Diceros bicornis minor: one gene and its partners. The protein of the gene in region 1 interacts with the protein of each later gene in a pairwise test. Links are inferred from orthologs where the notes say so. Each region holds a gene or a part of one and is shown in the gene's direction. Other genes may lie near its edges.

Evidence for each region.
Region 2: the proteins of TPM1 (region 1) and KXD1 interact in binary tests that used the Homo sapiens proteins (3 or more experiments, as listed by UniProt). The two-hybrid records come from large-scale screens. The link is inferred for Diceros bicornis minor from reciprocal best matches to the Homo sapiens genes TPM1 and KXD1.
Region 3: the proteins of TPM1 (region 1) and TNNT1 interact in binary tests that used the Homo sapiens proteins (3 or more experiments, as listed by UniProt). The two-hybrid records come from large-scale screens. The link is inferred for Diceros bicornis minor from reciprocal best matches to the Homo sapiens genes TPM1 and TNNT1.
Region 4: the proteins of TPM1 (region 1) and CAGE1 interact in binary tests that used the Homo sapiens proteins (3 or more experiments, as listed by UniProt). The two-hybrid records come from large-scale screens. The link is inferred for Diceros bicornis minor from reciprocal best matches to the Homo sapiens genes TPM1 and CAGE1.

The regions. Positions count from the first base shown.
Region 1 is NC_080744.1:57,612,714-57,620,727, forward strand, and holds the start of TPM1 (tropomyosin alpha-1 chain), read left to right. Parts: upstream 1-5,005; 5' UTR 5,006-5,114; coding exon 5,115-5,228; intron 5,229-5,999; coding exon 6,000-6,125; intron 6,126-6,330; coding exon 6,331-6,456; intron 6,457-8,014. UniProt on the Homo sapiens protein: Binds to actin filaments in muscle and non-muscle cells. Plays a central role, in association with the troponin complex, in the calcium dependent regulation of vertebrate striated muscle contraction.
Region 2 is NC_080759.1:6,173,881-6,181,703, forward strand, and holds the start of KXD1 (kxDL motif-containing protein 1), read left to right. Parts: upstream 1-4,810; 5' UTR 4,811-4,903; exon of another isoform or gene 4,904-4,938; intron 4,939-5,053; exon of another isoform or gene 5,054-6,298; intron 6,299-7,728; 5' UTR 7,729-7,749; coding exon 7,750-7,823.
Region 3 is NC_080773.1:33,187,528-33,194,627, reverse strand, and holds the start of TNNT1 (troponin T, slow skeletal muscle), read left to right. Parts: upstream 1-4,095; 5' UTR 4,096-4,159; intron 4,160-5,349; exon of another isoform or gene 5,350-5,408; 5' UTR 5,409-5,419; coding exon 5,420-5,451; intron 5,452-5,561; coding exon 5,562-5,575; intron 5,576-5,919; coding exon 5,920-5,955; coding exon of another isoform or gene 5,956-5,976; intron 5,977-6,211; coding exon 6,212-6,244; intron 6,245-6,432; coding exon 6,433-6,483; intron 6,484-7,028; coding exon 7,029-7,050; intron 7,051-7,100. Other genes in the region: TNNI3 (troponin I, cardiac muscle), read left to right, coding at 1-150, 453-584, 1,064-1,153, 1,688-1,864, 2,493-2,576. UniProt on the Homo sapiens protein: Troponin T is the tropomyosin-binding subunit of troponin, the thin filament regulatory complex which confers calcium-sensitivity to striated muscle actomyosin ATPase activity.
Region 4 is NC_080753.1:58,996,662-59,003,548, forward strand, and holds the start of CAGE1 (cancer-associated gene 1 protein), read left to right. Parts: upstream 1-3,875; 5' UTR 3,876-4,251; coding exon 4,252-4,264; intron 4,265-6,050; coding exon 6,051-6,268; intron 6,269-6,887. Other genes in the region: RIOK1 (serine/threonine-protein kinase RIO1), read right to left, coding at 483-690, 3,508-3,578.

The DNA.
Region 1 (8,014 bases):
GAGAAGGAGATAATGAACTTGAAAGTGCTTTTTAGACTTTACATAAATAAGGAATATTGCTATTCTTGAGACAGCTAAATTCCACCACAAGTCAGCTTGATTAAATCTATACATAGTTGCTCCTGTTGAAAAACAGAAGATAAGATATAAGGCAGAACTAACTTATTGTCTTTTTCTGTACTGGGAGAACCATTTTGCCTGTGCCAACCCTCCAGGTAGCAAGCATACTCAGGGACCTCTAAACAATGAAAGATGGTCACTAAATGAAGAAAGGCATCCACAGTGGCCTGAAGACCTTTCTCAGAGCTCCAAACCCTCCCTGAAAGCAGAGCATACTTTCCTTGGGTGCTTGATGGTAGCATCACAAACCTTGAGAAAGAAAGATCCCTTGTGTATGAGGAGAACAGGCTGTATCTTGTTCCATGAGACAATGAGCCGTGAGCATAACACGCTGCATTCCAACACCCAGTGGAAGAAGCAATTGTCTCTCAATTTAATTATAGATTCTCCACGTTCCCATAATTGCTTGAGTCAGCACTGTTGACGCTGGGGGAGTCATGGTACACGGGTAGAGCTAGTGCTGTTAAACAAGGTGTGACTATCAGGTAATAAGAGTTTATTTTTGTTTTTGTTTTTAAACAAACAAACCCTCATGTACATAGTCAAGTGAGTCTTCTTGTTAAAGGCGTCACACTTGTTGCTCATGTTGATTGTCTTTTCTAACCAAATATTGGAAAATGTAGTATGGCAAGTATGGGTGCTCTTATGAGAGGAAGGGACAGTATATTTAATGTTAAAGCTCTCCTAGAAAACCTGAGATACATGATCCTCGCAGCTATAGGGGGGCCCAGGCAGCATTTGGGTCAATGGTAATGTGGTTGGAAATTCACATTAAATGACCCCCAGAGAGAGGATTTTACCCCACGTCATACATAAATACTTATCCTGGAGGAAAAGATCCAGGTCTCTTATCCACCTTCCTTGATCCCATAAACTCTAGTTAAATGCCTGGCACACAAAAGGTGTTCAGTAAATATTTGTCCTACTCTATCACAATACTTCAGAAAATAAAACATAGAATCCATATTTTGAATGGAAATAATGTCTTTTGAGCATAGTTTTGTTATCTTTCCTTCCCAGATACTGTTTCTCCTACTTAATTGTATGGCTAATAGCCAATAAACAGTCATTCAACAAACATTTACTGAGAAATGACTGAATACCAAGCACTACGGAAATCTCCTGGAAATTCCACAGACATTCTTGATGTTCACACAGAAGCTCTGGACCAAGGATGTTGTGCAGGCTCCCATGTCACCGTGATTCGGTCAGCTTTTTTAATTTCAAGGAACACAGACTCTCTCATGTAACCTCAGGAAAGAAAGGGGGTTATTATAAGGACTCCTGGCACTGAAATTTGGTCATATTCTCCCTTCTCTTTCTCTCAGTGGTGCTTCTGTTTATCTTGACATGTCTGCTCCATCCTCCTTTCTCTATAACCAGACATCTCTGCTTCCTCATAACTGGGGTGATATATGACCTGTTGTGCTGAATTAGGGCAGGAGATGCTAGTAACACTTCAGTAACAAACAACCCCCAAATCTCAGTGGCCTAAAATAGCAAAGGTTTATATCTCTCTTTTGCTACATGTCCACCAAGGGTTAGTTGGGAGGAGAGGGGGAGCTCTGCTTACCATAGCCACGTGGGAACCCAGAATGACAGAGCAGCAAGAATCTTGAAAAATGAACATAGTGAGACGTGTTAACTCTTCAAGTGTCCGCCATAAATCACTTCTGCTCACATTTCCTTGGCCAAAGCAAGTCAAATGACCACACCTAACTAAATTGGGTGAAGATGTATAATCCTACCAAGACCCTGATTGGGGAGAAAGCCCAAATATTTGTGAATAGCCTTAATCACCCTCATTCAAGGCATCTCTAGCCCAAGATTGCAAACACTTTTTGTTTCAGCAGCCACAGCTGATGATTCATATTTTCCACATTCCTTAGTTCAAACCACAGTGAGAGAGAAGCTGAGTGGCCTAGTCCATCTTTGCCTGACAGACCACAGCACTAGGTCTCTGGTTAGCCTTTGGGTCTGTCCATGAGTCATGGCCAGTCAGCTGGGCAAGAGGGATATATACACTACAGCACGCGGCTGTCCAGCCCACCCCTCTTGATCCTATCCAGCGACCAGGAGATCTGTCCAGTACAGAAGAAATTGTGTAAGTCATGATGTTTTGCTTGTCCTAGCCCTACACAACAGAAAGGTCATGGATGGTGCAGTCCATGAAGCTGGGTTGGGTCTGGCTGGCTGTCAGGCTATTCATAGGGCAGAATCTCAACAGTGGCGAAATGGAAATGATTCAGTCCAGGGACCTGCTATGTTAACCCATCAATCTAGGGATCAATGATGTGGTACCAAGGGATTTAAAAAATTGGCTCTGTGTAGCTCCATTTCCACCCTTGGATACCACAGTCTTCATCCTCTGAACATAACTCTGGGTGAGAGGGGCAGGGAGGGGAAGAAGACTGCTTGGCTTCAACCCAAACAATAAGACCTGAACGTCTGAACCCGGAATTCAGTCCCTTTACCATATGCCCCCAATCTACCTTTCCAGTCTCATGTCCCAGTTCACCCCCAAGGAAACCTAGTGTCCAACCACCATCAAACATTCCTTTTTCTTCCCTTGGCTCATACAGTATCCTCCTCTCTATCTGCTACCTTTCCTCTAAAATCAGTCTAAAAACCAGCACTTTTCAGAGAAGTTTATTCTGTCTGCTCCGAACTGGTCATTTCTATTTCTTTCTCCTCTGAGTTCTTATACCCCTGCTCATGCTGAACACGTGGAGGGCATGGATGTGTCTTACTCATTTGGGGATACCAGAGCCTAGTGCCTGCCTGGTATAGAGCAGATGCTCACCAATGGTGTGTTTGAGGAATTGTCTGTAGCACCAGTTCATTTAAGGAAAATTTAACAAGTTGCTCTGCTATGTTAGGCACAGTGGAGAAAAGTCAATATTATATGATCCCTCCAGGAGTTTCTCTAGTTCAGTTGCCTCATTTTATAGATGAGAAAACTGAGGCCCAGAGAGGGGAAACAACTTGCCCTCTGCCACTCAAGCAGCAGTAATTTACTGAGCACTTTGCTATGTGCTAGACAAAATGCTTTTCATTCTTTATTGCATTGTCATCCTTGTAACAACTCTAACAGGGAAGAATTTTTACACCTACTTTACAGAAGAGAAAACTGAGGCCTAAAGAGATTGTAACATGGCTACGGTCGCATTGCAAAGAGGTGGCCAGGCCAGGTTTGGATCCCAGGGTCTAATTCTTGAGTCCCTACTCTTGCCCCCTGTCCTGAGCTCCAAGCTGGAGAATCAGCTCCCTGTGGTCCATGCATCTGTTCAAGCCCATAGGCCTTGAACTTTGTTAGTGCTCCTGTGGGTGGGGGGTTCTGGTGAATTTCTGTGCCCTACAGCCCCTATGCACACAGATCTAATGTTCTGACCATTAGGTCAGGGTATCTTTTCCTTCCTGGGCTGTTAGGTTAGTGGAAGAAACTTGATAAAATCCTGGAGAGGAACTTGACTATTCTCTGAAGGACTTACAAGTTGTTTGACCTGCCTAATCTACTCAGATACTGCCCAGGGAATATTCAGTATCCATGTAGTACAGGTTGTGAATTATTCTCTGGGGAGGGTGAAGAAGACCCTCACCAACTCTGCTGCAGCCAGTCTCAGGCAGAGCCTTGGGGTGGCCCCTTCTCTTCCCCTCCCACCAAAGCTCTGAAAAGAGCAAGCTTTTCCCCACTGGGGGCTGGGAGGAGTCAGAGATGTAAGGGAAATCCTCCTGCCTTCAAGCAGAGCTTGAAGTCTCACAGTCTGTACAGAGTTGGCCTGATCGCTTCTCCTGGTTATGGCTGTGGATACAGTGACTTCGCTGGGGTAACATCTATCCCACGTTTTGGCAACCTGGTACCTGAGCACCTAACATGGAAAGAGGCCGACTCCCTAAAATCAGTGCAAGAAAAATGATAAAAAGTGAGATCTGGAGGCACCTCAGGGATCATCTACCCCCCGGGATTTAAAGATGAGGAAACTGCAGCACCGAGGCCATGCGTCAAGGTCACACAGCTGCTGATGATGGAGACCAAAGACTGAGTTGCCTGAGTCTACACTCAATATTCTTTCCCCTTAAATTCCCACACCGACACACTAGCACACACACAAGCACCTTTGCAGAAGCACCACACACAGGCAAAAGCAGAACTAAGCCGAGTCCTGTGTCCCTAAAATATTCGACTGTTCCTCTCCTTGGAGGAAGGGCACGCAGAAAGATGCCCAGACATTCTGACCCGCACCAGCAGAGAAAGTCTCAGGAGGGGCCCCCAGAACTTCCTCCCAACTCGTCCTTTCTCTGCTCCGGTTGAGTTTCCAGAGTGAGCGCCCGGATGACACCCGGCAAGCGGAGAGCTGCCGGGGAAGCGCTGGGCGAGTGCAGGGAGCGCGCAGGCCCGGGCGCCGAGTGGGGCGGCTGCTGGGGGCCTCGGGGCCTGATGCTGTGCGCGCCGGGATCTGGCGGCTCAGGGGGGCGACGCGCACCCTCTACCTGCCCTATTGCCCCGGCCTCCTGTGGCTCAGGGCGGGCTCGCCTGGGGCCCTCGATGGCGGGGCGTCCGCCCTGGGAGGAGGAGCCGCGCAGCGCAGAGGTTAGCGCCCCGGCCCGGGCTCGGCCCCGGTGCCCTCTCCCTGGCGTGCAGGTTTGGAAACAGGGCGGCCTCACCCGGCCGCCGCCCCGGCGGCTCCGGTCCCCATATATAGACATATCCACCGTCAACTGGGAGGCCGGCAGGCGGCAGCGAATGGGCGAGCGGCCCCCGCGGGAGGAGCGGGGAGGGGGCAGGGGGCGGAGGAAGGAGGGGGAAAAGGGGCAGGAGAAAAAAGCTTTTCCAAAAAAGTATTGGCTGTCTTGAGGAATGCGGTCGCCCCCTTGGGAAAGTACATATCTGGGAGCAGCAGGCTGCTCTGCGCTCGCACTCCGGCTCGGCCGCCCCACCGCGCTCTCGCCTCGCCGCTCCCGCCGCAGCCCCAGGGCCCCTCGCCGCCGCCACCATGGACGCCATCAAGAAGAAGATGCAGATGCTGAAGCTCGACAAGGAGAACGCCTTGGATCGAGCAGAGCAGGCGGAGGCCGATAAGAAGGCGGCGGAGGACAGGAGCAAACAGGTCTGCGCCTCCCCGGCTCTGCGCCCCCCGTGCGCCCGCGCGCTCCGTCCGCCCGGTGGCCCCGAGCCCTGGCACCCGGGCTTGGCACCCCCGCCCGGCCCCTCACCCCCAGGACTCGGAGGGCCACCCCCTACTCCTGGGCGGCCAGGGACGCGCGTCTAAGAAGGGGGAGGGGAAGAGAAGACTCAGGCTTATTCTAACTCTTTAGTCTCGTCTGAGGACGCTTGTTTCCCTTCTCTGGTCCCAGAGCTCGCGAAGTCAATCCAAGTCCTAGAGGCACTTGATCCTCAGCATCGGGAATCAATTTTGGATGGGGGGGTCGGTAGGGTTGAGGGGTTGAAGGGAATCAAGTCCAGAAAGTGTTAGTCGTTCTTCTGGACTTTTGACTGGGGAGAATATAAACTTCAACTGGGATAGAGACGGGGGAGGGGAGGAAGTCATGGATTTTTTTCCTAAGAACAAAGATAGGACAGAATAGAGAGTGCGGCCCGAAAGATAGGGAAACAGGGGCTTTTTCTGCGCCCCCAAGTTGTGGACTTGAGCCCGCTGAGGCCTCAGCAGGAGTCTCCTCCCGGGGGAGGTGGAGGTGCGGGGTGGGCCACGGTGCGGTTCCAGCTCGGAGCGAGAGGAGGTTACCCAGGGACCCTTGAGTCCCAACTCGGTGGCGCCCCAAGCCCGAGGGCCCTCAGCCAACCCGGCGCCCTTGTGTTGTGTGTGTGTCTAACACCCGGTCCGTGCCGGCCGCCCGCGCCCGCCCGCCGCTGCCCCCAGCTCGAGGAGGACATCGCGGCGATGGAGAAGCTAATGCGGGCGTCGGAGGACGAGCGGGACCGGGTGCTGGAGGAGCTGCACAAGGCGGAGGACAGCCTCCTGGCCGCCGACGAGTCCGCCGCCAAGGTACCCGGGGCGCGCGGCGCGGTGCGGCGCACGAATGGCTAACTCTGTCTCTCTCTCTTTCTCTCCCTCCCTGTCTTTCCCTCTCTCTCTCCCTCTGTCCCTGTCCTTCTGGTTCTGTGCACCCACACCCTTCCCCTGCGGGATCACGCTGCCTGCTGCACCCACCCCCCCACCCCCCCTCCCGTCCCCCACGGCCAACTCCCAGCTGGAAGATGAGCTAGTGTCGCTGCAAAAGAAACTCAAGGGCACCGAAGATGAACTGGACAAATACTCCGAGGCTCTCAAAGATGCCCAGGAGAAGCTGGAGCTGGCGGAGAAAAAGGCCACCGACGTAAGTGCACGCACACACTGCTTCCCTCACCTCCTGCCCCGCGTAGTCACTCCGGGGTCACCACACGGGCCAGAGAGCAATGGAGGAGGGTCACCTCCTCCTGCTGGACATCTGCACACAGCCTCGCCATGGCTCAGAGCACTGGATGCTGCCTGGGACTGCTACTGCACACCTTCATTTATATTTCATCCATTCCTCTTTCTTTTTTCCTCCTTCCTTCTCCCCACCCCTGGGGGTGGAGGTGGGTGGGTGAGAAGCTGGGAGCATAGAGCAGCTGAAATTGGACTTTGGAGGTGAACCTTGCCTCCCTGGTGGCAGAAAACTTCTGAGGTGTCATCACCAAGGTTTGTGCAGACAGAATGCCTAGTTTTCTTTCCTCTCTTTCCTTTTGCCATGTCTGGTGGATGGGAAGGCCTGGGTTTCAGTGGTGGGTCTAGTCAGGATCCAGAGGGCCTGGCCTCTAGATGGAAGGAATGGCATGGTGCTAGGTTTACTCAGAAGACCGAGCTTGATGGTGGGGCAGAGAGACACTTGAGGCCTCCTTTCTCACCAGGGAAGTCTTAATCCACCCCTTAAGATCTGCCTGGGAAGATGATACTTGCTTGGGTCTGCAGTCTGAGGGCACCAGATCCAGAAAGTAAGCTGGGAGTTATATATAGCTCAGTGCTTTATATGGTATAGTGAGCCCGCTGCCCCCTGCCCTTCCTGCTCGCCCCACCCCCACCTGTCAGCCCTCTGACAACCACCGCATAGTTTCAGGGGTGATGCATAGGCCGCCAAAGCTCTACCAGCACTTTGTCCACTGCCCTTTGGAATCTTTTTCGCTGAAGAGCTGGCCTCTTCTGCTGAATAAGTCAAGCCAACCATTAGATTTCCAAAGGACTGACTTCCTCTCACACCGTTGGATTCCATTCCAGAAGCTAATTAAGCCTAGAGGCCCAATTAGGCAAGAATTCCTTGGGAAGTTGGTATAACAATTCCAAGAATGCATGAGCACCCGGGAAAGCTATGCCCGGAAGTTGAACTACCAAGTTCAACCGCAGAATTTTTTGTATGAGAGTAAAATGCAAATTGCTGGAGGGTCTTGGGTCTTGAAATCAGTACAGGCTTTTTGTGGCGTGAAAGGCTTGAAATGTAATTTCCAAGTGTGCTTTGTAAATGAGAAATCCAGACATAGGACATTTAGAATCTGACAAAAAGAAATTTTCAGTGAAAATCAAGATTCCTGGGAAAGGGGGTTCAGGGAAGCACTGATTTAGCTAAAACATTTAAGTTACAAACTACCTGGCTTTAGAAAAAGAGCCAAAAAACACATATAACTCTGTGCCTGCTTTGTATAATGTAGATCAGATGTCTGCTCCGTATATGGCTAAATGGAGGATGTCTGTCTCCCCCAAATTCTCCAGCAGGACGTTTATTTAGTTTTTTCAAAAGAGCCGCTGATAGATCAAGGAGAGATATTCCTTATAAGGAAAAGAATGCAGAGAATTTGAAAATAGCCCAGTAAGACTGAAGGCAAGAGAAGGAGATAAAAAGCTACTACAATTCTTAAGGAAAA
Region 2 (7,823 bases), on another chromosome or scaffold:
GTGCCCATTTTCCTCCACTTTATATGGGACACCGCCACAGCATGGCTTGCCAAGCAGTGCATCAGTGCGCGCCCGGGATCCGAACCGGCGAACCCCGGGCTGCTGCAGCGGAGCGCACGCACTTAACGGCTTGCGCCACCGGGCTGGCCCCTGGTTCCTGTTTTAAATGCTCCACCCTTTATCTTCCACCTTTCTGTATCCTCATGTTGTACATGTGTCTCCTATAAGCAGCATCGAGTTGAGTTTTGCTCTTTGGTCTAGTCTGCCCATCTTTGTCTTTTTTCTTTTTAAACGAAGGAGGAAATTTTTTTTTTTTTTTTAGGAACATTGGCCCTGAGCTAACATATGTTGCCAATCTTCCTCCGTTTTTCCTTTTGTCTCCCCAAAGCCCCAGTAGATAGTTGTAGTTGTACATCCTTCTAGTTGCTCCATGTGGGACGCCGCCTCAGCATGGCTTGATGAGCAGTGTGCAGGTCCGCGCCCAGGATCTGAACCTGCAAACCCTGGGTCACCAAAGTGGGGCACGCAAACTTAAACGCTACGCCACCGGGCCAGACCCCCATCTTTGTCTTTTAATTGGTGCATTTGGTGTATTTTACATTTAATGTAATTATGGACCTATTTGGACTTAAAATATGCCATCTTGTGTGTTTTTTTCTCTGTCCTACCTGCTCTATGCTCTTCTCTCTGCTTTCTTGCTTTCTTTAGGACTGGGTGCATGTGTTTTGGTAAGGTTATCCTTATATTGCAGATGGGGAAACTGAGGCACAGAGAAGGTAATTACCTTGTTCAAGGTCACAGTGATGAAGGGCAGTATGGGTTAGGTATCTTCCATTACCGAGCTTTTATTCCAGCCAAGGAGCTGGATATTGCACAAAGAATGATGCAGTTAAGTATCTAATTTGCAGCTGTGATGAGTGTTATGTAGGAAAAAGAAGTGGCAAAAAAATTGAAAAGAAAGGCTTCCAGTCCCCAGACTTAGGCCTTCCCCAGACCAGTGGCCCCATCACTGAGCTGACTGAGTGTTCCCATCACTTCCAACCCTCTCCCTTGAACACACAAAGGAGGGAAATATTTTCTTGTCTCCACTCCACTGTGCACAAAACATCTGAGGCCAGCCAAGTCCCTTTTGGCCCGATGTGCAACCCCCACCCCTTCCAGGACCCTTGTAAATGTTTCCTGGCCTCCAACAGAGCCCAAGGGACCCATCAAAAAGCTTGATTTCTCCAGCTTGGGCCTCTTCTGCTGCAGCCTGCAGACAGAGCTGTGGTTCCACTTTTCCCAGCAGCCTCCGCCCCGGCTCCTCGCTCAGCAGTGGCTGCCGCCTGGCTTACTGAGCTCCACAATTTTTACAAAGATAGAGTCCATGATATGTGCTTTCCCACCATCCTGTCTTTGCTCCTGTGATTCCCTCAGTCCTGAATGGTTGTCAGCACCTAGAAAACTCCTAATCCTACCTCAAAACCCCATCCAGGGGCCAGCCTGGTGACGCAAGCAGTTAAGTGCATGTGCTCCGCTGTGGCAGCCCCGGGTTCACCGGTTCGGATCCCGGGCGCACACCAACACACTGCTTGTTAAGCCATGCTGTGGCGGCGTCCCATGTAAAGTAGAGGAAGACGGGCACGGATGTTAGTCCAAAGCCAGTCTTCCTCAGCAAAACAAAGGAGGATTGGCATCGGATGTTAGCTCAGGGCTGGTCTTCTTCACACACACACAAAAAAACCATCCAGATGTACCTGATTCCTTGTCCCCAAAACGAGTCCTCATACCCCATTCTTCAGGTTCCTTCAGTCTTGAGTCTCTCCTCCCTCTAGCCCAGCACTGTTCCCCTAGGGATGGGAGTGTCTGTGTCAGACTCTGTCTCCATCCTCCAGGGCTAGGCATGAATTGAGTACTCTCTGGATGCCCAGAATATGGGCCACTCCTAGAAAGGGTGGCTAGAGAGTTTACTGAACAATTTTTAAAACTGTTTGTTGAACTGACTATATAAGAATCCTGGTCTTCATTAACTTTTCAATGAATGAAGGCAGCAGAGTGTGGCAGTAATAATACAGTCTACCCTCGGTTTACCGAGGGCTTACAGTGGGCCAAGACTTGTTGTAAGGAATTAACCTGCATGATTTCATAAGGTTAAACCACTTGCCCAAGGCCACCCAGCTAGGATGTGACAGAACTGGAATCAGAACTCACATATGTCCAATTCCAGGACTCTTAAAGAGTCTTCCATGTGCCTAAGAGCATGTGTGCATCTCCCAAGCTCTCAATATCTCCCAAGCTCTCAACGACCTTAAAAGGCAGATGCTGTGATCACCCAGTTAACAAACTGAGACCCAGAAAAATTAGACATACAATATATAACATATACACATCATAAGACCTCAACAACTGGGGCCGGCCCGGTGGCGCAAGCGGTTAAGTGCACGCGTTCCGCTGCGGCGGCCCAGGGTTCGCCGGTTTGGATCCCAGGCACGCACCAACGCACTGCTTGTTAAGCCATGCTGTGGCGGCGTCCCATATACAGTAGAAGAAGATGGGCATGGATGTTAGCCCAGGGCCAGTCTTCCTCAGCAAAAAAGAAGAGGATTGGCAGATGTTAGCTCAGGGCTGATCTCCTCACACAAAAATAAATAAATAAATAAAAAGACCTCAATAACTAATGGTAATTAATTAACATTTATTGAGCAATTACTATTTGCCCCATTTTGTTCTTGCATTTAACTTGGATTACTTCACTTAAAAATGCATCCTCATATCAGTATGAACTCACAGTTTTCAGTTTATATACAAGGAGACAGATATAGAAGTAAATATAAATGTGTGTGCATGGGTTAGCAGGCATACATGTATTTGCTAACTCTGACTGCTGAGAGGGTCTCTAAGCAATGATAGCCCAGTGGCAGTGAGCATGGCCAGCACCCAGATCTTGGTTTCTTTTATTTATTTATTTATTTTAAAGATTTTATTTATTTATTTTCCCCCCAAAGCCCCAGTAGATAGTTGTATGTCATAGTTGCACAGCCTTCTAGTTGCTGTATGTGGGACGCGGCCCCAGCATGGCCGGAGAAGCGGTGCGTCTGTGCGCGCCCGGGATCCGAACCCGGGCCGCCAGCAGCGGAGCGCGTGCACTTAACCGCTAAGCCACGGGGCTGGCCCGAGATCTTGGTTTCTAAATCCTATTCTCCAAGAAAAGGTACCAGGCTCTTTGGAGAAATGGCTGACTCCAGAGATATTCCAAAGCAAGCATGGAACATCTTGTGGTGCCAAAAGTAAGGAAGTGCTCAGAGAAAGGTGCAGACATATTAAAATGACATAGGGGCTAACTTAAAGAGGCAGAAAAATAAATAATATAGAAATTGGGCCAGCCCTGGTGGCCTAGTGGTGAAGTTCGGCAGGCTCTGCTTCAGTGGCCCAAGTTCAGTTCCTGGGTGTGGACCTACATCACTCGTCTGTCAGTGGCCGTGCTGTGGCAGTGGCTCACATACAAAAAGAGGAAGATTGGCAGTGGATGTTACCAGCAAAAAAAAAAAAAAAAAGGAAAAAAGAAAAGAAGTTAACTATAATCCACAGAATAAAATAAATATTCATAAGTTCATAGTGATACAAATACTTGAATAAATCCATAATTGGAGAATGGACAGCTCTTGTTTACAGTAGAATTCCAATTAATAATTAAATTAATAAACAGAAAATCACCAGAAAAAAATAAATTAAAAAAAAAATTAAAAAAGGGCCGGCCCCGTGGCTTAGCGGTTGGGTGCACGTGCTCCGCTGCTGGCAGCCCGGGGTTTGGATCCCAGGCGCGCACCGACGGACCGCTTCTCTGGCCATGCTGAGGCCGCGTCCCACATACAGCAACTAGAAGGATGTGCAGCAGTGACATACAACTATCTACTGGGGCTTTGGGGGGAAAAAATAAATTAAAAAAAAATTATAAAAAAAAAATCACCATTATGCAAACACGATAGTAATCATTGTTGCTGGCAAGAGCCACAGATGGATGCTAAAACTAGTGGGTGAAAAATATGTTTAAAAAAACCCCCAAAACTAGGGTATTTGTATGGGCTCTTAAGTATCTCTCCACAAGATACCTATTAATTATAAAAGGGAAAATAGTAACTGGACAGTTGAGAAACTGGCAGACACTGCCTTAAGCAAGTAATCAAAGTCAACATCACCAATAACGAGACACATCAACATCCCGTGCTTCCTGATACCATGCATGGAGGACACAACATCGCTTCTGTGGGATTCCTGCCCAAACTGCTCAACTTCAGTCTAATCATGAGGAAACACTGGATAAACCCATATTGATGAGTATTCTACAAAACCAGTACTCTTCAAAAGCATTAAGGTCATGAAAATTTAGGAAAGACTGAGGAACTGTCACAGAGTGGAAGAGACTACGGAGACACGACTAAATGCAACGTGGGATCCTGGATGGGATCCTGGACTAGAAAAAGGTCACCAAAAGCGACGCAGGGATTTTTGAACCCAGATGAATCTGATTCCCAGCCTGGAAAGCAAGACACCTGGGTCTGGGTCGACCGCAGGCCACTGAAGCATTATATGACCTTGCGGAAGCGCCTGCCGCTCTCGGACCTCAGTTTGACCATGTATAAAACAGGACGTCTCCCAGCCTCCACCACCCACTTCCGGACTGCCAGGGAGCCCGGGCTTAGGAAACTACGCAGGCGCGAGAGGGACTGCTCGATTGGCTATTTGTTGTGGCGCACACGGGAACAGGAGTTGCGTCTAAGCCCCACCCCTTCCTGCCGCGCCTCCACGCACGCCAGTCGGCCCCGGGTACGTCTCCGCCACCCGCGCTCGCACGCATGGTGCGTGGTGACGTCGCGGAGGCTCGGGCGCCATCCCGGAAGCGCGAGCAAGGCCGCCAGATGTGCAGGTGCCGCTGCCACCGACGCTGGTGCCGAGTTCGGGGTGGGGCTGGGGCCGCCGAGGCCGCTGGGGAGCCGGGCCGGGCCGGGTCGGGTGTAGTCCCCGGGCTGTTGTGGGGTGGGGCGCGCCGCTGGCCACATCTGGGCACCCCTCCTGCGCACAGGTCTCGGTTTCCCTGTCTGCGCAGTGGACGCGCGGGCGGAGCCGCGGGCCGGATCCGGGGCACGGGAGTTTGGGCCGCTTGTGTTCAGGCTGTGCTGTGTTGTTACCCGGAACCGGGCGTTGGTCTGCTTGGGCCTGTTTCCCCACTTTGCAGGGGCGGGGCGTGAGGGGATATGCGAGCCCCTCCGCGCTCGTTTTGCTGAGCTTGTGCCACCAAGTTAAATTCTGTTAAGGACTTGGGTGGAATGGCGGCGCCTCTCCGCCTTGCCATGTGACCTTGGGCAGCTGAGTCCACCTCTGTGAGCCTTAGCTGCCTTCGGAGATGATAGTGTCTGCCTCATAGGGAGGGTTGGGGATTAAATGAAGTGCTATTCAAGTGTTTGCTCATATTCTTGGAAGCACCGGGGAAGCCCTTGTTAAAATGTTGATTCCTGGGGCTGGCCCGGTGGCGCAGGCGGTTGGGTGCGCGCGGTTCGGATCCCGGGCGAGCACCAACGCAGGGCTTGTCAAGCCATGCTGTGCTGGCGTCCCATATAAAGTGGAGGAAGATGAGCTGGGATGTTAGCTCAGGGCCAGTCTGCCTCAGCCAAAAGAGGAGGATTGGCAGATGTTAGCTCAGGGCTGATCTTCCTCAAAAATAAAGCTGATTCCTGAGCCCCGCCCTAGGACTTCTTCCCACTCCCTTTGAAGAAACAGCCCAGATCCTTATCACAATTGGCTTCAGTCCCCACAGATAGCGCTGTGAAGTGCTGATTCTTTGTTATTCCCATTTTCTGGGTGAGAAAACCGATTCAGGGAGGTGAGGTGATTCTTCCAAGGTCACACAGCCTCCCTGTCTGTGTGTTTCCCTCATAAAGGTATTTGGAGCAGGAGCCAGAGCCCTTGCTGGGTCATTTCCACCCTGTGTGTGGGCCAGACTAGCTGTTAGTCAGGGAAGGCTTCCTGAGGGAGACAGCTAGGGTAGTGGGGAGTGTGCCCTGAATCCTTCAGCCCTCATATCTGGCAGCTGGAGATGAGAAAGAGCTGTACTTTGCAGCAGAATGGTTTCCCACTGGTCCAGAACCCTGAACCTGTCAGGCTCTGGCTGTGGGTCCTGCCACATGACTGCCCTTTGAGCGCAAGTGTCCTGTTTATACATGATCATGCTTCTTCAAAAATCGGAGACTGTGAGTGTCCAGACCTGGCACATAGTGGGAGCTCAATAAACATGGCGATAATTGGATGAGGAGAGTTTCACCAGGTATGGCAGCTTATTTCTAGAAGGCATGTAGGGGCTGCAAATCGCTAGCCAGATTCAGGGCTCAAATAGATAACACTTGACTACATGGTGTTTGGGGGGGAAAAAATATTGGTTGCTGACATTTGTAAATGAGGCGATTTCACAGGAAAAAAAACCCGTATTTCTGTTTTTTGCCTGGAAAAAATCAGAAGTCTGGCAGGAATCAGCTGCTTAGAGCAGCAGCTGTCCCGTCATGGGTGGATAATGAACACCTGTTCAGATTCACACCTCTGTGGATCCTGCAGAGCATGGGCATGTGAATTGTGACTCAGGTTCTCTGGCTGTGTGACAGTGGCCCCGTTCCTCAGTCCCTGAGCCTCAGTGTTCTCATATATAAACAAGGATGATAACAGTTCCTGGTGTATGACGTTAGTGCCTTGTAAAGAGGAGGGTGGATCAAGTGAGCTCTGAAAGACCTTGCTAATCCTGTGTGTGAATTCTCACCAGTCACAAGTGGGCCTTTCTGTCAGCCATTAAATGTGTGGACGCCAGAATCAAACTATGTCAGGATTCTGGGTTTCTCCTGAACCCTCCCCCCAACCAGGAGGGTCAGTGCTGAAGCTGTGGCCCCTCCTGCCCTGGCATGGTCAAGGAAGCCCCCACCCACCAGAATGGTCACCTGGGTGCCGGGGACCTGGGGCCCGCAGCCTGGCTCTGAGTGCCTGAAATTCTTGGCTTTAATTTGCTAATAAAAGTCTAGCATCAGGGCTGAGTTTGAAAGGTTCTGTCAGCCTCCGCCAAAGTTCTGGCCATCCCTTGCTATGAGCCACGTTCTGGAGCAGAGCAGCAAGGGAGAGAGACAAGTCTCTGCTCTCTTGGAGCTGACACTGCTGTGGGGATGACAGGCAAACAGATCAACTGACAACTGAGATAATTTCAGGAAGAGGTGTGGCAGTGAAGCAGTTAAAACAAGGCAGAGTGATAAGAGTGACCAGAGTTGGGGTATCATCAAAGACCTCGGGGTATCATCAAAGACCTCGGGAGAGAAGACATTGGAGGTGCTGATGATTTGAGGGGGCAGCCATGCATGTGCTACCGGTGGGGACAGCAGGTGCAAAGGCCCTGTGGTGGGAGTGGGCCAAGGCAGGGGGATGTGGGAGGTGGCTGGCAGATCTATGCAGGTGGAAATTTCCCCTGGCCTCGGGCACATGGAGAGTGGGAGCCATGGAGGTGGGAGGGACTAAGGGGTTCTCATGTGCTGGGGTGCAAGTTATAAGTATGGTCTCCTGTAGTTCTCAGAACACCCCCGAATTCCCAGGTGACAAAGCTGAGGCTCAGGTGGCGTGACCGACTCATGTTCAAACAGCCTTTGCGGTTCCCAGCCCCTCCTCTCTGTCCCAACTCCTGGTGCCTGGTGCAGACTGAAGACTCTTTCTTCTTGCCTGTTTCAGGCAGCGGAGGAGGAGGAAGAGATGGACACCCCGGACTCGGCCTCAAGGGTCTTCTGCAGCCGCATCCTGAGCATGGTGAACGTGGACGATGTCAA
Region 3 (7,100 bases), on another chromosome or scaffold:
GGACCTGGCTTGCGGGGGGGGGAAGGGGGGGCTGCTCTGAAGTCCCTCCCACTGCTCACCTTCGGAACCCCGTCTCTGATCCTTCATTGCTCTGTGTCACCCTGGCAGAAAAAGTCTAAGATCTCCGCCTCGAGAAAACTGCAGCTGAAGGTGCGGATGGGCCTGGAGAGGGCGCCTAGGTGTCCTCGGGGGGGGCGGAGCTTGAAGGTTGGGGTGGGGCTTCGGGCGTGCGAGTGGGCGGGACTTGGCGTGGTGCGTTCCTGGGGGCGTGGCTTTGCGGCGGGGACCCACCTACGGGAGGGGCGTGGCCTTGGAATGGTGGACCTCGAGGGGACGGGTCTCTAAGGCGAAGGACGGGACTGGGATTCGAGGGCGGGGCGGGAGGAAGCAGCTTCCCCGAGAGCGCGGTCCTCATCCCGCTACCCCCGGGTGGGCGGTGGTCCACTCCGCAGACCCTGATGCTGCAGATTGCGAAGCAGGAGCTGGAGCGGGAGGCGGAGGAGCGGCGTGGAGAGAAGGGGCGGGCCCTGAGCACGCGGTGCCAGCCTCTGGAGTTGGCCGGGCTGGGCTTCGAGGAGCTGCAGGTACCGGTTCTAACCAGGGACTCTCTCTCAGCCCGGGGTCTGAGATTCCTACTCTCCGGTCTTGCATCCTTGGGACTCAGGAGTATAGGCACTATCCCCTTCTGCTCAGGACCTTGCGGTCCAATCTCCTAAACCTTACGTCGGGAGTTCAGAAATATGGCCTGCAGCTCCATGCTTGAGGGCTACAGTCTCAAAACCTAGAAGTCGGTTCCTGCAACTCGAATTCTGTCGGATTCTCAGGACTCTTGGCTCTGGAGTGCTGCTTTGTTCACAGTTCCCCAGAGTCCAGCTTCAATCTCCTCCCTCAGACCCAGGAGTCCAGGCCCCCAGCCCCTCCTCCCTCAGACCCAGGAGTCCAGGCCCCCAGCCCCTCCTCCCTCAGACTCAGGAGTCCAGGCCCCTAGCCTCTCCTCCCACAGACCCAGCAGTCTGGGTCCCCAGCCTTCCCCGCCCCACACACGCCACCGTTCCTCCACCAGGATTTGTGCCGACAGCTCCATGCCCGCGTGGACAAGGTTGATGAGGAGAGATACGACGTGGAGGCGAAAGTCACCAAGAACATCACGGAGGTGGGAGGCACTGGGCAGTGTGGGTCCCCTCAGGGTAGGGTGCAATGCCTGGGGCTGTGGTCTCAGCTTGCCCCCTGGCAGCTGCTTGTGGTTGCAGACACCAGGAGACCCAGGACAAGTCTGTGAGTCTGACAGGGAGTGGGCAGAAAGATGAGTACAGTATGCTCAGGGAAGGCTGTACCAGGCAGAGGGAACAGCACGTGCAAAAACCAGGAGGTGGAACAGTAGGAATATGCTTGTGGACATGTGTGGCTGGAGCTGAAGTGTTGGTAAATGAGCTCAGGTATGGGCCGGGGAACTGTGAGATGCAGGTAGCTGGACTGGGATGAGTCAGTGGTTTTCAGAGATGAGGCTGGGGCAGCTCCGGGAGGACTTCCAGTTCCGGAATGAGGAGCTTAGATTTTGTCCCAAAGGTGGTTGAGCTAGGGAGGGCCCGGATGCGGCCTGGATAGGATAGGAGGGGAGTTAGGGTGGAAGAGTGGGGCAAAGGGGAAGCAGAGGGGAGTCTCCACCTCCTCTTATGGCTGCCCCCAGATCGCAGATCTGACCCAGAAGATCTTTGACCTTCGGGGCAAGTTTAAGCGGCCCACCCTGCGGAGGGTGCGGATCTCTGCGGATGCCATGATGCAGGCGCTGCTGGGGGCCAGGGCTAAGGCGACCTTAGACCTGCGGGCCCACCTCAAGCAGGTGAAGAAGGAGGATACAGAGAAGGTGAGTGGGGCGAGGGCCAGGAAAGGGGGTGCTTAGAGGCGAGGATGTGGGAGGTGACAATGCCAGGGCCTGTCCTGAGGGCAGATGGTGCTTGGAGTGGTGGGGAGAAGTATCTGGTAAGGGTCCTCAACAGGAAGTACAGGAGGGACACAGGAAGTGCATGTGGGAGACAGGAAGTGCAGGAGGGAGACAGGAAGTGCAGGAGGGACACAGGAAGTGCATGTGGGAGACAGGAAGTGCAGGAGGGACACAGGAAGTGCATGTGGGAGACAGGAAGTGCAGGAGGGAGACAGGAAGTGCAGGAGGGAGACAGGAAGTGCAGGAGGGAGACAGGAAGTGCATGTGGGAAACAGGAAGTGCAGGAGGGAGACAGGAAGTGCATGTGGGAGACAGGAAGTGCAGGAGGGAGACAGGAAGTGCATGTGGGAAACAGGAAGTGCAGGAGGGAGACAGGAAGTGCATGGGGCAAATTGGAAGGGATTGTCTGAGGGGACAAGACGTGTTCCAGAACCAGGTTCTGGGACAGGCGTCCAGAATAGAGCAGCCCAGCAGGCTGGAGGGCAGCTGGAGGATATTCGAGAGATTGTGGACCAGGAAGAGACCCTAACCTCTGACTCTATTCCCCCAGGAAAACCGGGAGGTGGGAGACTGGCGCAAGAACATCGACGCGCTAAGCGGAATGGAGGGCCGCAAGAAAAAGTTTGAGGGCTGAGCTGGCCTGCCCACCGCTCTGGCCCTGAGGATGGCCTTGAGGAATAAAGCTTCTCTCTGAGCTGGGAGTGGCTGCGTGTCTCCTACCCGGGGGCTTAGGGGTGACAGAGATGGGAGACCTGAGGGCAGAGCTCCCCGAAAGCCACACCACACGCGAGGAGCTGAGCTGGGTCTCCAATATGGGGCGTTCTAGGCTCCTCTGCTCCACGCGGGCTGCACAGAGATGCCGAGACCAAGGCCCAAAGAGAGACAGAGACACAGACAGACAGACTGAGTCAGAGACAGTTACACAGAGCCAGAGACCCAAGGAGAGAGGGGGAAAAGGACAGAGAATCACAGAAAGAAATGCAAAGAAATGGAAAACAGAGAGACAGATACACACAGCGAGACAGAGACAAGGGAGACCCTACAGAGACAGAAACAGGGACCAAAGAGGAACAACTGCAGAGACACAAAGAGAGACCCCCAGAAAGAGCCAGAAAGATAGAGACATGGACACAGAGCCAGAGAGACAGAACTGGGGTCACAGACAGACATGCACGAGAGACCAGGAGACACAGACACCAACAGACAGACCCTGAGGGAGGCAGAGACGCAGAGACAAAAACATGCCAAGAGACATGCAGAGTGAAGAACACAGAGACAGAGAGAGACAGAGAGAGTCTGAAACAGAGAGCCAAAGAGACACCGCTGAGAAATGCATAGAAGACAGAAACAGAGATGGCAGACAGTGAGACAGAGACAGCAAGAGAGAGGCAGGGAGGGCGAGGAGTCCCGCTCTCCAGGGCCTGCTCCCCCACCCTTCAAGGTCACGGCTTGGCAGGGAAGCGGGGAGAGGGATACCAAAACAGACCAGTGTCAGATGGAGGTGGGGGGTGAGGTCCCGCGGGGCTGACACCCCACCCTCTCGCCTCCCCCGACACACACCTGTTTCCCAGCTTTAGTGCCTGTTGTCACCAGGGTGGAATCCCGGTGGCAGACAAAGGGGTGGGGGTGGGGAGGAGAAGACAAAGAGGGACAGAGACAGAGGGGGGAGCCTGAGAAGCAGAGAGAGATGCACAGAGACCCACAGACGGAGAGTCATAGAGACAGAGAAACAGGGTGTGAGAGGTGGAGGGCCAGAGAGACACAGAAAAAGTGACAAGAGCCATGCAAAGAGAAAGTGTCCCTTGTCCCCCTTTAGTCAATAAGCAGTCTCCAAGGGCCTACTGTGGGCTGAGCATGGGGACTTCAAAGCACAGGGTGCCCTGTGCTGTAAGGGAGGGGGGAGCCCCGGACCCAGCCCAGGGTTCCAGGAGGTGCTGATGGGGCAGAGGAGGGGGGTCCGAGCAGCCAGCAGGTGCCTGGATCCTGCCATGTGGAGCCTGAGTGGGGGCAGGGCAGCCTCTGACTGGGGACTCCGGTTTGGGGAAAGGCATTCTCTCTCCCTCCCTCTCCCCCCTCCCTCTCCCCCCTCCATCTCCCCCCTCCATCTCCCTCCTGGGGGCGGGGCTGAGCCTCCAGCTATAAACCCAGGGGTGCCTCAGTGGGGCCCAGCAAGACTCTGCCCCCGCCGGTTTACCGCCTCAGCAGACCCAGTCTTAGGTAAGGGGCCCTGGCCCTGCGGTGCCCTTGGGGGAGGGGCAGGAGGGGAGGGAGATGAGGGGTGTGGAGAATACGTATGGGGAAGGAGGGGGCAGGAAAATCAAGGTCTGGGAATTCCAGAGGCTCAGACTTTAGGGGGACTAAGAATGGAAGGGAAAGTGTTAGGATTTGGGTGTTACGGGATCCGGTGGTGCCAGGATTTGGGGAACAGAATATAAACTTAGGATCTCTCAGAGTCAGGGAATCTCAGAAATTGGGGGTATCTGGGCTTGGACGTCAAAGAGTCTGGGTGTCAGGATGGGGGTGGGTCTCAGAATCTGGGATTTTAGGAACTGAGGTCTCAGGATCTGAGGTCTTATGATTGGAGGCATCACAATTTGGAGTGTCATAATTCTGAGTGTCATGAACTGGGCCTCTGAGTTGGGGTATCCAGATTTTGGGGTCTCATGATCTTGAGGTTTCAGAATTTAGGGGGTGTCAATACCGGGGGGTCAAGATCTTGGGATGTGTCCCGGCCCATACTCTGGAGAGTCAAGAACCAGAGTGTCAGAATGGTCCTCAGAGAGCAAGAGCATCATACACTGGGGTCTCAGGATCTATGGCTATTGAGATTTGGGGGGACTCAAACTGGGCACCTTGGGGCCTGGGGGATCTCAGAGACTGGGGGCTCTAAGTATTTAGGGGTCAGGATGAGGTCTGTGGACAGAAGCTGCCCTCATGCCTCCTGCCCCCTCCACGGCTGTGGGTGAAGGTGAAGGAAGGAGACAGGTGGGAAGATGACCTGCCAGAGGGGAGGGGGGACTAACTCTCCCAGAAGCCCCCCCATCCCTTCTTAGGAAATGTCCTCTGTTTCACTGGCTGCGACATCCCCTCAAAATAGCCCCTGGGGGTGGGGCAGCTATTGTCTTCAGGCCACTGTCCCTTCCCAAATACCTTCTCCTAATCCCCACTCAGATCAGGTTCCCATGGACAGGTCCTAAGACAAAAGATGACAGCTGTGCTGAGGGCGTGGGGGCTGCAGGCCTGGGGCTCTGCCTGGGCCACACCTCCCAATGCCCTGTCCTCATGCACACTCCAGGCCTCTGGCCCCTCCTCCCTCAGACCCAGGAGTCCAGGCCCCCAGCTCCTCCTCCCTCAGACCCAGGAGTCCAGGCCCCCAGCCCCTCCTCCCTCAGACCAGGAGTCCAGACCCCAACACCCTCCTCCTTCTGGACCCCACCCCATTGCGTCTGTTCTCTGTGGTCCGTAGGTCACACCAGGATGTCGGAAACGGAAGAGCAGGAATATGAGGAGTGAGTGATGCTGGCGGGAGGGGCTGGGGGTTTGGAGAAGAGGAGACACTCTCCCACCTCCAACGCATCTAACTTTCCCCCTCCCTCTTTCCCTCCCACTCGGTCCTCAGGGAGCAGCCGGAAGGTGAGTGGACGGTGCGCTGGCCCTGGGGAGGTGGGAACACCCATGCGCGTAGCGTATGGGAAGCGCGAGATGGTGCGGCCCCTTCCCAGCAGGGAGCCGGGGAGAGAGGCGGGTTAGCCCACCCCGCCCGACGCCCACCCTCTGGAGCGTTTCCAGGAAATCTCCCACGGCCAATGGGAAAAGCGCACGGTGCCCATTTGCACCTGAGGCCCAGAGGGGTCCCCCCCGCCCAGCTGAGACTCGAAGACCGCTCTCTGGCCACCCCCACATCTGAATAAAGGCCCAGCCGCCCCCGGCCCCCCCGGGCTCCTAACGCCCTCCCTTCTCTGCCCCGCCCCTTCCAGAAGAGGAGGCTGCCCCCGCCGAGGAGGAGGAGGAAGGTGAGGCCCTGGCCTCAGCAGGTCTGGAGCTGGACGCGGGGCCCCGCCGGGCCCGGGTGGGGTGGGGACACTCGTCCAGGGGTGGAGGCTGGCGGGGCACGGGGGTCCCGAAGGCCTCGGCTTCAGTTCCTTTAACAGCCTCTCCCCTCTCTCCCCTCTCTCCCCCTCCCGCACCCGGCGTGGCCGCTCCCCCACCCCGCTCCCTCCCCCCCCCCGGCTCCCCCAATCCTCGCTTCTCCTCCTGCCCCCTCCCCAGCCACCGAGGAGCCGGAGCTGGTGGCAGAGCGAGGTAATCGCGGCTGCTTCGCTTCTCGAGACCGATTTCGGGGGCCCTGACCTCCGCGATGACTCCCTCCCGCCCCCATAACCCGCCCCAGGCCCGGTCCTTTAAGCCCCGGAGCGCCCGCGCGCCCTCTGGTGGCCACGAAGGGAAAATCACCTCGCAGCGGCTTTAACCCTTTCCCTTCCTTCTTAAAGGGACCGACACCCAAGCCTTCTTCCCCAGCCTGGAGGAATACTTACAGAAGGGTTGGATGTTTGCGGAGGGGCACCACCCCATCCCCCCTCATCTTCGCCCCCTACCCTGTCTGTTATTTTTCTTCTCCATATACATTCAAAGGTTGGGGCCTAGGTTGCAGAAGGGGCTAGCACTGGGAGTCCGGGTTCCTGTGTCCCCAAGGGGGAGGGGACTGGGAACACAGCTCCTGGGCCACCGATAGAAGAGAAGGTTTGGGGCCCCCCTGCACTGCTAGGTCTTGTTGGAGGAGGGCAGGAGCTCTGGGTATGTACAAGGAGGAGGGTCTGGGGATTTGGACCCTTGGGTTCCCAGGAAAGTGGGAGGGGATCCCCACACCAGTTCTGAATGTATATCTGATGCGTGTGATTCTCCTCCTCCTTCTGGCCACCCTGATTTCCCTTCTCTCCTTTTCTCCTTTCCTGCCCCCCCCCCCAGAGCAACAGGAGGAGGGAACTGGGCTCCTGGGGACTGAGGCTTGCGGGGGTTCCCTTCTCTGGGTGTGTCAAGCCCATCCCCATGAACTCTTGCTAATTATCTCTTTGTATCCCCCCAACAGAAGAGGAGCGCCCCAAACCAAGGTGAGATCTTGGGGGGGGTCCCAATCACGTCCTCCTAAATGTGTCCCCCA
Region 4 (6,887 bases), on another chromosome or scaffold:
TATTTTAATGGTTTCTAACATTGTGAAATTTTGGGTTGTACATTTTTGTTTGTCCATCACCCCGTATATGACTCCCTTCACCCCTTGTGCCCACCCCCCACCCCCACTTCCCGGGTAACCACAGTCCAGTTTTCTCTGTCCATGTGTTGGTTTATATTCCACATATGTTTTTCTCCGTTTCTTAACCATCAGTAGTAAACTGTCTATTCATCTCCTTTCCCATGCAGATTTTAAAGCTCATAATCTTACGACAATTTAAATAACTCTTTTTAAATTTATTGATTACGGAAAGAATCCACATTCGGAAGTTATTCGAAATATGGAAAGGTCAAAGAATGAAAATCAATAAAGGCTAGAACTACAGGAAAATATCACCTGAGGAAAATCTTTCAGTTACTCAGTTCCAGAACCACAAAAAGTCCTTTTAAAAAAGAAGACATAAGCAAACAACACAAAGATGTATAGAATCATTTATAAAATACCTGTGGGTTACTACCTCCATTCAAGGTATAACCTTTGGTAAGTTTTCCAACACCATCATCCCAGTCCCAATCATCGTCATCATCATAATCCTCTTCCTCCTCCTCATCTTCTATCTCACCTTCACCCATCTTCTCATTCACATTACTTTGAAGGTCTTCAAATACAAAGTCATCTTCTTCTTTGATTGTCTTCAAGTCAAGGTTTTCACTAGAAATAACAATGTTTCAGCACGTTTAGAAATGCTCCAATTGGACAAACTTACGTATTTATTTATGATATAACAGAGTAAACCTACACCAACAAATCTAAAACGTTCCCTTACAACCAATCTCCCAATAAGCTCAATCTTCTTAATACCAAGTTCTCCAGTTTTTCAGAGTTCTGCTGGAGTTGTTCGCTTATTCTCCAGGTCCTACACTAAAGTACATCAGGTGTTGGATCTGCTTCTGCCCCACTGAAGTTACAATTTATATAGTTATCTTCTCTGCAGAATGAATTGAGGCAAGGGAAACTTCATTGAACTGGTTTAAGAGGGAAAAAAAGCTTTCTGACCAAAACTTGGGAATAAGTCTAAAGCAGCCTTACCTTGAACTCAAATACCACCTTGCAACAAAAGAAACTATATCAAGATTTGTCTTACACAAAGAATCACTCTTGTGCATGAAGGGAAGGAACAGTGAATACTTGCACCACAGATAAGTGACGTAGGCTGCATATAAGAAAATAGGAGAAGTGGGGATTGTCAAATCCAGAGAACAGGCAGCACAACTTATACGGTATTTTTTTTTTTTTTTTTTGCCATGTGAGAATTCAGACCTAGTGTTACCAGATCTTCTTAGCTTTTCAAGAAAAGCCAGAAACGTGGATTTTTGTGTAAAATCTCCCACTTAACTGGCATATCCAATTTTTATAAAACACTTTGCCTACCAAACAAAACACATTTTCAGGCCAAATTCAATAGCGATACTACCAATTTCGATCTCTCATATAGAGAATAAGGACAAAAACCATACATAAAACAAGTGATAATATGCACTACTGGCTTAAAAACAGTCAGACACGAGTTTAAGCAAATTTAGATATCAATCCTGACTTATTAATTAGCCATGGTCTAGAGGGCTAAAAATCTCCATGAATATGGGTAGGAAGAGAAAAAATAATCATTAAACACCTGCAATTTACTAGGATTTCATAAACATAATCAATAAATTGCCAAAAACCTAGAGGGGCATGTTAAAGTTACCCCTTCATTTATACCAGGGCTTCTCAACCTCAGCCAGACAATCCTTTGTTGTAGGCGGTTGTCTTGTGCATCCTAAGATGTTTATCAGCATCTCTGGCCCTACCTACCAGATACCACTTGTGCACCACCACCCCTAGTAGAGACAAACAAAAATGTCTCCAGAGATCGGCAAAAGTCCCCTGGACTGGGGGAGGAGGGGCAAAATCGTTGGTTTATCATCAGCATATCCAGCGATGGACAGTAAACCAGAGCATACTCATTGTTGTTAACTATTCACGCCACGCTGGCTGTGCTGCTTCTTTCCTCTTAACTTCTCTCCTAGGGGCTTCTGTACGCCCATCTGTAAATATAAACCTGGAATGCCCTTCTACTCCCTCTCATTTCTACTCCTTCCAGCAGTAGCTTACTATCAACTCACTCAGAGAGATCTTTCCTATTCGTCACCCATTTCTCCTTTGTATTATTTACCCAATTCTAATACAAATAATTTGTCTAACTATTTAATAAGTTTCCCTCGCTAGAGTGCAAGTTCTGTGTCAATCAGGGTGGTGTTTACCAATGTACCCCTACCAACTAACACTAGATCTGACACACAGAAAGGGATCAAGATATATTTATTGAAAAAATCTCCAGCTGACAGATAAAATCTATATGTAACAGATCTTTACTGTAAACATTAAGTAAAAACTGCTTTCTTGGAATTCTAAAATAACTGTTTCATTTTGCTTTTAAGTAGGAGTTATCCTTAATTCTTTCTGCCTCACATTCACATCCAATCTACTGCCAAACCCTCTCACTTCTACCTCCAAAACATATCCCTACAACTCTGTCTCTAGCTCCCATAATCTTTGAACTGGATGACTTTATTACTTTTGAACTGGTCTCTGCTTCCACTCTTGCCCTCCAAAACCATCCTCTCCATAGCAGAACGATTCCTTTAAACCATAAATCAGATGATGTAATTCCCCTGCTAAAATCCCCCTATGGCTTCCTGCAAGACCTAGAATAACATCTCAACTCCTTACCATCACTTGTGAGGCTACACATGATATGGCCCCTTCTCACTTCTATACCATTACCTACCAAGTTTCTCAACTACCTCCACTGGGCTGTAAGCACATTGGCCTCTAGATCTTTCTTTCACAGCCAGCCAAGAGGGATGCCACCGTTGGGCCTCTGCGCTTGCTGTTCTCTCCGCCTGAAATGCTGTTCCCTCTACTATTCCTGAGGTTAGCTCCTTCTTGTCATTTAGATCTGGACTTAACCCTTCTCTGACCATACACACGTAGTATATCAACCGCCTTTAATTACTTGCATAGTATATGTCATCTTTTTTTAATTTCTATGTATTTGTCTGCCCCCCCTCCCAAGTAGCGAGGGTAAAGTTCAATGACAGCAGGGACTTAGTCTGTCTTGTTCACCACTTTCTCCAGCGCCGAGGACAGATTCCGGCACACAGGAGGTGCTCAATAAGTATTTCTTGAATGCCTAACATAAAGCGCAAAAACCTGTTTCCCAGTCGCTATTCGTAACTCTGTCCCTCAGCGACGGTAATCGTCTGGGAACCCCGGACTCCCCTGACCAGAGGCTCTCATTACCTCTGCCATAACCCGGGGCGAGTCCCGGCTGGGATGGAGAAAGACTGAGAAGCCGTGGGGCGCGCCCCCGAGCGATAAACTACAGTGTCCCTCCACACCACGAACAAGCGTCAACTCCCCAACGGGGCGGCGGCGGCGGGGAGAGCGGAATCGGGAGAGCCGGTGTACTCCACGGCCGCCTACCTGTCCGAAGAGTCCGCGTCGTCGAACTGCCCAGGGACCACCCGACTCATCAGCAGCCGCCGGTAGTCCATGACGGACGCGCGCAGAGCCTCGGCGCCCGCGGAGGCCGCCCACCCGGCGCTGGGACAGGAACCGCACAGAGACGGTTATACCCGCGGCCGACCCAACCGCCTCTCCGTGGGTTTCCGCCTCGCAAGCCGCTCAGAAGCCCCCACGCCAAATCCGCGCGCCACGTGCTACGAGGGATCCAGACGAACAGCCCCAGCCTCCCGGCCTTCCCGACCGGAAGTCCCGCTCGACCGGAAGTTCCGCCCCTGCGCCGGGCGGAGCGCCCGCCGCTGGCGCCGACGGTGCGCTGAAGGGGCGCATGGGGGTGTCAGGTGGCCGTGTTGAGTCGCGTCCGGCGCTGAACCTGTGCCGGGCATTGTGCCCGGAGCTTTTGGTCTCTGCACCGCGCTTTGTGTTTCCTCCCGCAGAAGGACGCGACATCTGGCCCACAGGCTGTTGGGCCTGAGGGCTCACACCCACGTAACTTCCCAACGCTGGGAACAGAGGCTTCGAAGCCCCCAAGCCGAGCCCGCGGGGGGCGGGCGGACGTCACACAGGGACGTTCTGGCGCGCCCGCCTCCCAGCTGACAGCTTTTGAGAGTCCTCCGTGGAGAAGTCTGAGAAGCGTTCTTCCTCCTGCAAAACTCAGGGCGGAGGGAGGAAGCGTGAATCCTCGCTGTGGCTCCAAGCAACTCGATGGACCCTGGAAGTGAGCACACTTTTGCGACTTAAAAAGTTAAAAAGACATGAAGATCGTGGGACATTACAATCTCTTTTATTTTGTGAGAGTTTGGTGCCTTGTTTTGAGGTGACAATAAGATAAGTGCTTTTAAAAGTTAAAGTTTGACATACGACTGAAAACAATTTTTTAAAGAAAACCTTAGAATTTTTGCCAGTAACTCCAGTGACATCTCTTTTAATGCCCATCTTAAAACAGCTTTAGAGTGTCTCTGGAATATCTCTCCAAACACTTGAATATTTTAAAAGTCGAGCATAAATCTGGTAGGGACAGAATGAATGACAGAAAAAGTAAGCCTAACTTAAAAAAAAAAGTAAATTGGCGGATGTGCCATATGAACAAAGTTGTAAAATTATAATTGGATATTCTGGGTTTAACATTTAAGAAATAAGGCCCTTGCGTGTTTTTGCACTTGGAAAACACAACAAGGATTTTTGAGATCCCTGTTACTACAACCCAGCCAGCGTTTATCTGTTTGTAAGACAGAGAAAGTTGGGCTTTCCACCAATCCTAGCTAGCCTGGTTGGCTCACTGGCTTTTTTATACTTTACCGAATGATGATGTAGGTTTGAAAAAAATTAAACCTTAATAAATTATTTATTAATTCAATAATTAAATAAAATAATCCAGGCAAATGGGTAGTGGCTGTAGATTGAGAAGTTTTAATAGAAATAAATCATTGGAATGCAGGATTTATTCTATCAGTATTTACTCTGTGAACAACACCAGTCTATTTTCTGTAAGCGTTGTTGAAAAACCATAAATGGACTTCTCTCAAAGCATTTATAATCTGTAAATGCAAACACTAACATGCTGGACACAATGGTGAATGCTAAAGCAGTAAAATGAATCCATGCTGAATTATGAGATAGATGTTTAGACTGAAGACATTGTAGGAATTTAAATAGATGAATGGGTAGACGGGAAGGTTTTAGGAGAGAGAAGCACTCGCCAGGACAGACCGCTGAAGTGGTAAAGAGCGTCATCTATTTGCAGGGAGGTGAGCCTGATCTGACTAGAGCAGGGGAGTACTGGGTAGGTAACATGGGTTCCGGCTATGAAAGACCTAGAGAGTCAAGCAGCAGAATTTGAATTCAGTGTGATTGGACATCCTTTCCACTCCCATCCCCTGACAGACCTTAGGAGGTCACGAGAATGTGGACCAGTGTGATGAGATAAAGGGTGGAAAGAAAGCATGGGTTATGAGAAAATTTTTAAAGGAGAAATGGACAGGACTTGGTAACTGAGTAGCCCATGGATGATGAGGTGGAGGGATGCCAAAGATATCTCCAAGTGTTCAAACTCAGGTGTCTGAGAGAATAGGTATGGCATAGGAAAGTGAGGGAAAACTGATTTACAATGTTGGATTTGACTTGTTAATGAAATGTTTGAATAGAAAGTATCAAGTAAACAGAAATACACTGTTTTGTGGAACCTAATAGGTCTCTGATAATATTTTGTAAATCTTTTGATTAATTGAGAGATCCCTTCATCTTCTGGGTCCCAAGATTTTTAAGGAATTATTGGATAGCAGCCACACATATTGACTTGTTTTTGTCCAAATTAGTATTTACTACCATACAAAGGTATAATGGTATACTCAGACTAAAATTTTTAATTTTTCCAATAACTTGACATATACCATTTTAAAATTTAGGACAATGAACTTTGCTGCTTTCTTAATGTGAGGAGGGGTGGGGAAAAAAGCTTTCTGTTTGCATATACTAATAGACATTAAAATTATGTTTTTTTAAAGAGGCCTTCCATTATCCAACAGTTAGGAACAAGGACTGTCAAAAAGTTTGGTCATCACCCTCAGATCCTGTACATCTTAAAGTGGATGCTTCTCCTAAAAAATTAGAAAGCATGTCAGAAGCGGATGCCATGAATTTCAGCGGTCTTTCTCAAGACTTAACTCACTCAAATTCTCCCTTCTATGTGGAAACCAGCAGTACCACTTCAGACTTGCCTCAGGTGTGCATTGCTTACAAGTTCTGGGAGGTACAGATGTATTCAACCTTAACATTGTCTTGCATATGAAAATTTCTTCAAAAACATGAGAAACAATAAAAGAATCTCCAGTGGAAGCGTAAAGGAGGGGAATACAGGGTCTGGTTTTGCCAATTCCGTTAGTGTACAAAGAAAAGTAGAATTTTACAAATAGAGTGTTAAAACTGATCCTGTCTGGCCTCCTTGTGAAGTCCCAGGAGTGCAGCTAGGGACATGGTCACAACAACTGAGGCAGGAGAAGAGCCTAAGGGATCTGACATTTGGTCTAAAGCATCTTCCACTATGTCAGCATGGAAAGGATTCAAATGTCATTCATAATGATATTGACAGCACCCTGCATGTAAATGACTTCTTTCCTACCTTCAGGAAAGTTCCTAGTGTCCTTTCTCACAAAATAGAAGAAATTGTAATGTCCCAAGATCTTCATGAATGTTGTTCTAATGTTTGATAATTATTAGCAAGAGTGTAGGGAAATAATAGGAATGTATTAGGCTGTGCCATGTGAAATTGCCTTTTTGTAGCTCAGAAATGGGCAAATATTGACCATTTCATGTGGTTAGTCCATAAATTGGCATAACTTTCC